Linked DNA regions of Rattus norvegicus. The protein of the gene in region 1 purifies or fractionates together with the protein of each later gene. This does not show direct contact. Links are inferred from orthologs where the notes say so. Each region holds a gene or a part of one and is shown on either strand. Other genes may lie near its edges.

What was found.
Region 2: the proteins of Mycbp (region 1) and Spag5 purify together in Homo sapiens (co-immunoprecipitation; 3 studies listed by BioGRID and IntAct, with this or other methods). This does not show direct contact. The link is inferred for Rattus norvegicus from reciprocal best matches to the Homo sapiens genes MYCBP and SPAG5.

The regions. Positions count from the first base shown.
Region 1 is NC_086023.1:141,419,290-141,423,548, forward strand, and holds the start of Mycbp (C-Myc-binding protein), read left to right. Parts: upstream 1-1,437; 5' UTR 1,438-1,508; coding exon 1,509-1,523; intron 1,524-1,669; coding exon 1,670-1,742; intron 1,743-4,259. UniProt on the Homo sapiens protein: May control the transcriptional activity of MYC. Stimulates the activation of E box-dependent transcription by MYC.
Region 2 is NC_086028.1:63,692,153-63,696,402, forward strand, and holds the start of Spag5 (sperm-associated antigen 5), read left to right. Parts: upstream 1-1,147; 5' UTR 1,148-4,250. UniProt on the Homo sapiens protein: Essential component of the mitotic spindle required for normal chromosome segregation and progression into anaphase. Required for chromosome alignment, normal timing of sister chromatid segregation, and maintenance of spindle pole architecture.

The DNA.
Region 1 (4,259 bases):
ATGACTGGACAGTTTTTTTCCACATGAGTTTAAGTTCTGTGGCTTCTCATGACCGAATATGATTTTTTTCTTAAGACCAAGAGAAAAGACAGTATTTTCGTTATTTGTGCAATATAGAGCCATCGTTTCGCTTTTCTTAAACAGTCTAAAAACTATGCAGCTAGGGGCCAGTAAGATGGTAGGTAAAGGCACTTGTCGCCAAGCCTGACAATCGTAATTCAATTACTGAGTCAGAAGGAGAGCAAGTCCTGTGAGTCTTGGATCTCCAACCGCACCGAGGCATGAATACCCTGCCCCAAAAAGGTGAGGATAGGGCCTTACATTGAAACAAGAACACAATGAATTCTTTGTTTTGTTTTGGAGACAGGGTCTCTCTGTGTAGCCTTGGTCATCTTGGACCAGGCTGGCTTCGAACTCAAGAGATTCAGCCGCCTCTCCTTTCCTCGCACTGAGACTAAATTCGTAAGCCACCAGCGCTCGGTGAATAGAATGACTTCTATTCAAAGACATCAAAACAATATCTAGCCAAGTAGCAGGCACAACAACAAATTCACCAAAGGGCCCTCTTCTGCACCCAGAAATGTTCTCAGTAAACAAAACAAAACAAACAAACCCAGCAGCATAGCCACATTTTAAATTCATCTTCTGCATGTAGGGTGGCTTCTGGATGGGTAAAGTGGGATAAGCATTTTTGAACGAAGGAGGAACTAGAGAGACATACATACTTAGTACTACCTATAATTATTTTCAACATAAATACATGCATAATATATGGAAAAGAACTTAATGTTAACTACCAACGGGGTAAAAAAAAAAAAAAAAAACAAAAAGAAAACTAATGACACAAAGGCAGGGAAAAGAATCACGACTTCAGAGGTCTTTCACCTAATCCAACATTACTGTAGAGATAAATTTTCTCCCAGCCAGCTGCTATCTGCAAACCGTACTGGGCTTACATGAGCACCCTGAACATGGAGTCCAAGAGAGATTCAAACTCTTTATATAGCTCAGGGTGACCTTGAACTTTTTCCTGTTTTGCTTTCACCTCTCCTGTGCTGGGTATTTTTCTGAGAGCCAAGAAACACTGAAACACCGGTTCCCCACCAAAGACCTAAAAGACAAGGAGTGCGCGACTACTACCACGTGGAGAGATGCTACGCTTAAAGCATCTAACTCCCGGACACACCCATACTGGGCCTCACAGGACGTTCGTTCGGCTTTACCGAAACCTCGCCTCTTGCTAGGCAACCGAATCTCCGCGGCGACCGGAACAGGAAGATGCGAGACTGCCCGGAACCGCGTAGGGCAGGCGCACGCAGTCTCTCTGGGCTCCGAGGAGACAAGGATACACAGCGTCCCGGTCGCCATGAAAACAGGCCACACCCCGGCGGTCCCGGCCCGTGCCTGCCCAGTGCGCAGACGCGCGCGCCGTTCCGCGCAGGAGCAGTGAGGCTTGGAGCCCGCCAGCCAGTGTCTCCGGCGCCAGCTACGCCGCTGTGGCTGTCACTATGGCCCATTACAAAGTGAGGGGGGCGCGGCGTGGCTCGGGGCGTGCGGGCGGCGCCGGGTGGGAGTTGGGGCGCGTGCAGGGCTTGGGGCCGGCGGCGGGGCGCGCCGTCTTCCTGCTCCGGCCCCGGGCTCCGGTCCCTGACCCGCCGTGTCTCCTCAGGCCGCCGACTCGAAGCGCGAGCAGTTCCGGAGGTACTTGGAGAAGTCGGGGGTGCTGGACACGCTGACGAAAGGTGAGCGGAGGCGGGCGGCTGCAGCCAAGGTCCGCGCGCTCTTGACCAGGTGGGGCCCGCCCGGGGACTAGCGAGGCCTTGGGGTCCCATGGGTTGAGCGCACACCGGCCGCGGGACTTTGCCTCACCCCCGTGGTCGCTCTCTGCCCGGGACTGAAACTCTTGCAGCTGTTGCAAAGTCTCTCCAACTTCCGTTGCTTTCCCTCGAGCAGTCGCAGTGGACACGTTAGCAAGAGACCTTGAGGTCCCAATTGCTCCCGCCGTATAGTGTGCGGGATTTTACAAATTTTTCCTTTGGACAAAGGCAACTAAGAAAATTACTGGATTTGAAAGTGGGTTATTAAGTGGCTCTAGTCCCCGAAGCTGGAGAGTATCACAGACAGTTTGGGCTGTGGCTTTTCAACTCTTTCAGCCTGTAGTAATTCCTACTTTGTGTAGATATCATAATTAAAGTGGAATTACAATTTGAAAAGTGCTTCAGAGCACATAAAAATGGCTATACTCTTTACTTTAAAACAATGGAAGATTACTTTTAAAGTGCATCCCTTCCTTTCTGGGAGTAAGGTTAGAGGGTATGGTGATTGAACCCAAGGATTCCCGGAAAGAGAATACAGCTAAACTGTCCTTAACAGTATATTGAATACCTGCTACATGTTGAGTAAGAACTCAACATTGCTTGGTGTTTCCAAGGGAATAGAATGGAATGGCTGGCAGGGATTGAACCCTTGGTCCTTTTGAGAATAGGAGGTGTCTGGGAAATAATTTTGTATCTGCTTTTTAGTGAAACAAAAGCTAGGGGAAAATTTGGAAGGACTTAGAAGAAAGCAGGGCTTTTAATTCTTTTACATGGATGAACTGACAAGTTAGAATTACTACTAATTTCCTTATGTAGTTTTGCAAGTCGATGTGAGCAACATATAAGGAACTGCTCTGTGAGACCACTGTACTTTGTGGCATCGGAAGTGTCACAGATGGCTTGGAATTCTGGTAAAAACCCCTCATGTTTCTTTGATGTGATGATTTTATTCCAGCCTGTGTTCTGGGTACCAAGGGCACAGCCACAGACATGTCCCTGCTTTTGGGAGCTTGTTAGGGACACACACTGTAACACAGTGCCAGCTAGTGGTTGACATATAATTTAAACCATAGCCAGGATAAAGGTGTGACATTTTACATGGAGTAGCAGAGGGCAGACCGTGAACAGAATTTAAAGTATAGATAAGTATAAAATTTGAAATCTGGATTGCTCCCAAATCTGTAACTTACTGAGCATTGATGTGGAAAATCCCATACTTGACTACATAAATTATGTCAGTCATAATTCAGGAGCCTAGGAGTATGTACTTGTTCAAGACCATGTTCATCTTATGTGGATGAGGTCCGAATGGAATGTAAGTGAAGTTCAAGTTTCCGCTTGGATCTCATCCCCAAAATGTCTCATTATTCATGAGTAGACATTTCAACCTCTGGAGATAAAGACTGATACACTTTTGATCCCAAATAATCTGTGTGGGGAGGGCAGGGGGAAAGAAATGGATGCGGTGAGTGGACAGGCGAGAGCAGTACAAGGCAGATGGACAGCAACTGGAGATAACTGAATGCAGGCTGTTTAAGAGAATGGAAACCAATTTTAAAGGGTCAAACATAGATGCTTTATACACGTTTACATCTTCCTATCAGCAACATTTCAGAGAGGATTTAAAGTTGTTTTTAACATCAAAACAATGTAAGAAGCCAGGCATGGTGACATGTTTTTAGTGCTCTAGTGAGGGAAGGCCGATCGGCATTCACTGCTTGCCTGGAGCGCATATCAAGACCTGTCTCTCTCTAAAACAGTAAACGAGAGCTAGGCTAGAGAGATGGCTTAGAGGTTAAGACTACCTGATATACAACTACAGGGACTAAAGTCGAGATACCGGCACTCATGTACTAAACCAGGCGGTCTGTGTGTGTGTGTGTTCCCAGCCTAGCCAAAAGGATGGAAGCTCCAGGCTGGGAGACCTTGTCTCAAAGGTTTGAGGCATATGCAGAAGACTGTCGACATCTTGTTTCATTTCTAATTGCACTTGACCAGTTGAAATAGGAGGACTGCTTGAGTCTGTGACCAGCCTTGGATAAAGAGTAAAACTACATCTTAAAAACAAAAAACCAAACTTAACCAACCAGCCAAAAAACAAACAAACAAGCAAAAACAACAACAACAAAAAACAAACAAACCCAAAACCAAAACCCAAATTGTATAACCTTCTAGACAAAAGCATCCAGGAAGAAGGTGAATGGATGGAATAGCATTTTAGTTATTCTGAGCAGGGTAGCAAACTTTAAAAGGCTCTAAGTACCTAGGCTGCTAAGGGCTAGCCAGAAGGCTCAGCAGGTGAAGGTGCTTGCTGCCAAGCCAAGTGGACCTGAGTTTGATTCGCAGAGGGTATAGGTCTCTGAACTGTGTCCTCTGATTTCTACCTCCTCCCCAATATTGTAATAACAGTAAATTTAGCTTCTAAAGCAAAAGCGAATATGA
Region 2 (4,250 bases), on another chromosome or scaffold:
GTTACATAGGAAGTTCAAGGCTAATCTGAGACAGTGTTTTCTTTTAAGAAGAAAGCCAATAGTTGATTTTTGTAGCAGACACCTTTAATCCCAGCACTTGGGAGGCAGAGGCAGCTGGATCTCTCTGATTTTAAGGCCAGCCTGGTCTACAGAGGAAGTTCCAGGACAGCCAGGGCTACACAGAGAAACCCTTTCCGGAGAAACTAAACCAGCCAACCAACCAACCAAATAAATAAATGGAGGGAAAACATGAGAGAACATAGAAGAAACATGAAAAATCTAAGTGGAAAAAGTAGACAAAAGCTGTGTATGGTGGTGCATGCCTTTAATGGGGCAGAGGCAGGTAGGTCTCTGTGAGAACAAGGCCAGCCTGGTCTACATAGTAAGTTCCAAGGGATGATGGAGAGATGGCTCAGTGGTTAAGAACACTGTCTGCTCTTCCAGAGGTCCTGAGTTCCCACATGGTGGCTCACAACCATCTGTAATGGGATCTGATGCCCTCTTCTGGTGTGTCTGGAGATAGTGACAGTGTACACACATACATGAAATAAATAAATCATAAAAAAAAAAGGAAAAGCTTCGGTAACACAGACCTGTAACCCCTTGATGTCAGGACTACAAAATTCAGTTAGGGAAATTATGTCCTTAGCAAGACCCAGCACCAATCTATGTTTATGCATCAAAGTATCCATAAGAAAAAAAATGTACTTCAGGTTTGGGCTTTGGCCATTTGACTAAACGCACTAAGAAGGTCAGGATTGTGGGGAGATACAGGACCCGCTATGGTCCCTCCGTCTAGAAAATGGTGAAGAAAATTGAAATCAGCCAGCACACCAAGTACACTTGCTCCTTCTATGGCAAGACCAAGATGAAGAGACAAGCTGTTGGCATCTGGCACTGTGGTTCCTGCGTGAAAACAGTGGCCAGCGGGGCCTGGACTTACAGTACCACTTCTGCAGTCACAGTGAAGTCTGCCATCAGAAGACTGAGGGCCTTGAAAGACCAGTAGAAGCCCTCCCTACCATCTGAGACCTGCCTGGCCTGCAATAAACGGGTTAATTTACAGAAGAAAAAAGAAAAAGAGGGGCTGGAGAGATGGCTCAGCAGTTAAGAGCACCGACTGCTCTTCCAGAGGTCCTGAGTTCAATTCCAGCAACCACATGGTGGCTCAAAACCATCTGTAATGGGATCTGATGCCCTCTTCTGGTGTGTCTGAAGACAGCTACAGTGTACTTGTATATGATAAATAAATAAATCTTTAAAAAAAAAGAAAAAGAATGTATGTGTGTATTAACAAAATTAGTCTGGGGTTGGGGATTTAGCTCAGTGGTAGAGCGCTTGCCTAGGAAGCGCAAGGCCCTGGGTTTGGTCCCCAGCTCCAAAAAAAAAAAAGAACCAAAAAAAAAAAAAAAAAAAACCAAAACAAAACCAAAAAAAAAACCCCAAAATTAGTCTGTATGTACATATATGTGTTTATATAAAAGTGTACATATGGGGGGTTGGGGGATTTAGCTCAGTGGTAGAGCGCTTGCCTAGCGAGCACAAGGCCCTGGGTTCGGTCCCCAGCTCCGAAAATAAGAAAAAGGAAAAAGAAAAAGGAAAAAGAAAAAAAAAGTGTACATACAACTGGTCATTTCCTGAGATAGACTTGATCTACCTTTAATTTATCTTTGCATTTATTGTTTTAGTTATCACAAATACGGTTTTGACCAAGGTGTTACAGGGTTTTCCTTCCTATCTACTCCTCCGTATCCGTATTTGTTACTGGGAGCACACTATCTTTGTATGAAAACGTCTGGGATCTCACATGCTAACTGCCACAAGGACTGAGCATCCCACACACAGCTGTGTGATACAAACTTTTGCTAACATTTATCTGCCTGGACTTTACTGACACTTCCCACTATTTATTTGCTGGGTCTTTTCGAGGGACCATAGAGGTTCTCTAGAGTCACAGAACTTATGGAATGTCTCCATATATTTAAAGGGAATTTATTGTAATGACTTAGTCTGCAGTCTAACTAACCAAACAATGGGCAGCTGTGAGTGGAAGTCCAAGTATTTAGTAGTGGCTCAGTCCCACTCTGTCTTCTGTATGAGCTGGAAGAAGTTAGTTCATTCCCACAGATGTGTTGGCAAAGTGCAAGCAGGCAAAGAATAGAGAGCTTTCCCTCTTCCATTGTTCTTACGTAGGCCTCCAGCAGAAAATGTGGCCCAGATTAAAGGTGTATACCATCACACCTGCACCTTGAACTCAGAGATCTGATTGCTTCAGTCTCCTGGGATTAAAGCCATATACTACCTTGCCTGGGCCTCAAAGTTTTCATGGTCACTATGCCTCAAAATCTCTATGTCAAGATACAGGTCAGAAGCCTGTGTCTTCCAGCATCAAGATCTGGATCCCAGCTGTATCCTCCATTTCTGGATGTTCATTCCAGATGTAGTCAAGCTGGCAATCAGGAGTAGCCATCTGAGACCACAAATACTCCTTGAGATAGCTTTTGCTGAGCCCTGGTCAATCCCAAGCTCAAAAGCATTCTCAGGACTCTGAGGGAGAAGGATTGCCAAAAAAGTGAGACCACCCTAGGCTAAAGAGAGATCCTGCCTCAAGAGGGGAAAAGAGCAGTTGCTTGGTAGAGCACAAACTTAGCATGTGCTAGGCCCTGGGGCTCTATATTCAGCACCACCCACCTATATGTCTCCCCCTATTTTTATTCAAGCAGTTTTTCTAATGCCTTCAGAACGGCACTGTTTTGTCTCTAAAGTGGCAGTGTTCAATAGAAGTATAAGGCATGCACTCGGGAGGCAGAGGAAGAGTTGAAAGGAGCCCAATCTACACCACTAGAGCCTAGCTTAAAACAAAACAAAACAAGACATGTATGCTTTTAATCCTAGTACCCAGGAGATAGAGGCCAGTGGGTCTCTTTATGAGTCCAAGGCCAGCCTGATCTATTGAGTTCCAGGACAGCACCAAGTGCACAGAGAGACCCTGTCACAAAAAAAGGAATAAGATACAAATTACTATAACTTGTATTGTTTATACATGTTCCTGTGTGTGCCTGCATGCTTGTTCACATGTATGGGGGTCTGTAGAGCCAGATGTCAACATTACGTATTTTTTTCAATGACTCCATACCTTGTTTTTCAAGACATTTTCTGCTACTAAACCCAGAACTCAGTGATTCATTAGACTAGCTGAGCAGCAAACTCCAGGGAATCCTCTCATTTCTGTCTTAACCGCCATGTTGTTAGGATTACAGGCAAAAACTGCTGCACCCAGCTGTTTTTGGACAGGGTCTATCTGGCCCTGGCTGTATAGACTAGGTTGGCCTCACACTCACAGAGATTCACCAGCTTCTGCCTCTCCAGTGCTGGATTAAAGCCGTGGACTGTCATTCATGCTCTGCTCTGCACCTTGCTTTTTATTTGGGTACTGGAGATCCAAAGTCAGGCCCTCAAGCTTTCATAACAAGCTCTATACTGAGTCAGCTCCCCATTTTTCTCCATAAGTAATTCTAATTGTCACCCATGTTCAGAAGGTTTTAAAACAAGAAATTTTAATATATTTTATTTAACCCAGCATGCCAAAAAATACTCCGCTATGTAATTAATATTAAAAGATTTTTCCCCATACAAGGTCTGAAATGTGCATTTTACACCTGTATTACATTCCCATTTGAAGAATGCAAAGCTACATGTAGCCAGCAGAAAGTTAATGAACAGTACAGTCCTGATGAACGCACGTACTGTGACTAACCTACAGTTTCTAACATTAAAGCTCTTCTTTGGTTTGCTTCTTTTTCTTCATCAACACTTCTTTTTTTTTTTTAAGATTTATTTATGTATATGAGTACACTGTCACTGTCTTCAGACACACCAGAAGAGGGCATCAGATCCCACTACAGATGGTCGTGAGCCACCATGTGGTTGCTGGGAATTGAACTCAGGACCTCTGGAAGAGCAGTCAGTGCTCTTAACCGCTGAGCCATCTCTCTAGCCCACATTAGCACTTCTAAATTGGCCTGTAATTTAATTTTAAGAGGCTGAGGGCCAGGCAGTGGTGGTGTGGCACACGCCTTTCTTTAAAACCTGCACTCAGGAAGCAGAGGCAGGCGGATCTCTAGAATTTGAGGACAGCCAGGGCTACACAGAGCAACTCTGCGTGTGTGTGTGTGTGTGTGTGTGTGTGTGTGTGTGTGTGTGTGTGTGTTAATAATATAGCATATAGCAAGCACTTGAAACAGTGCCGG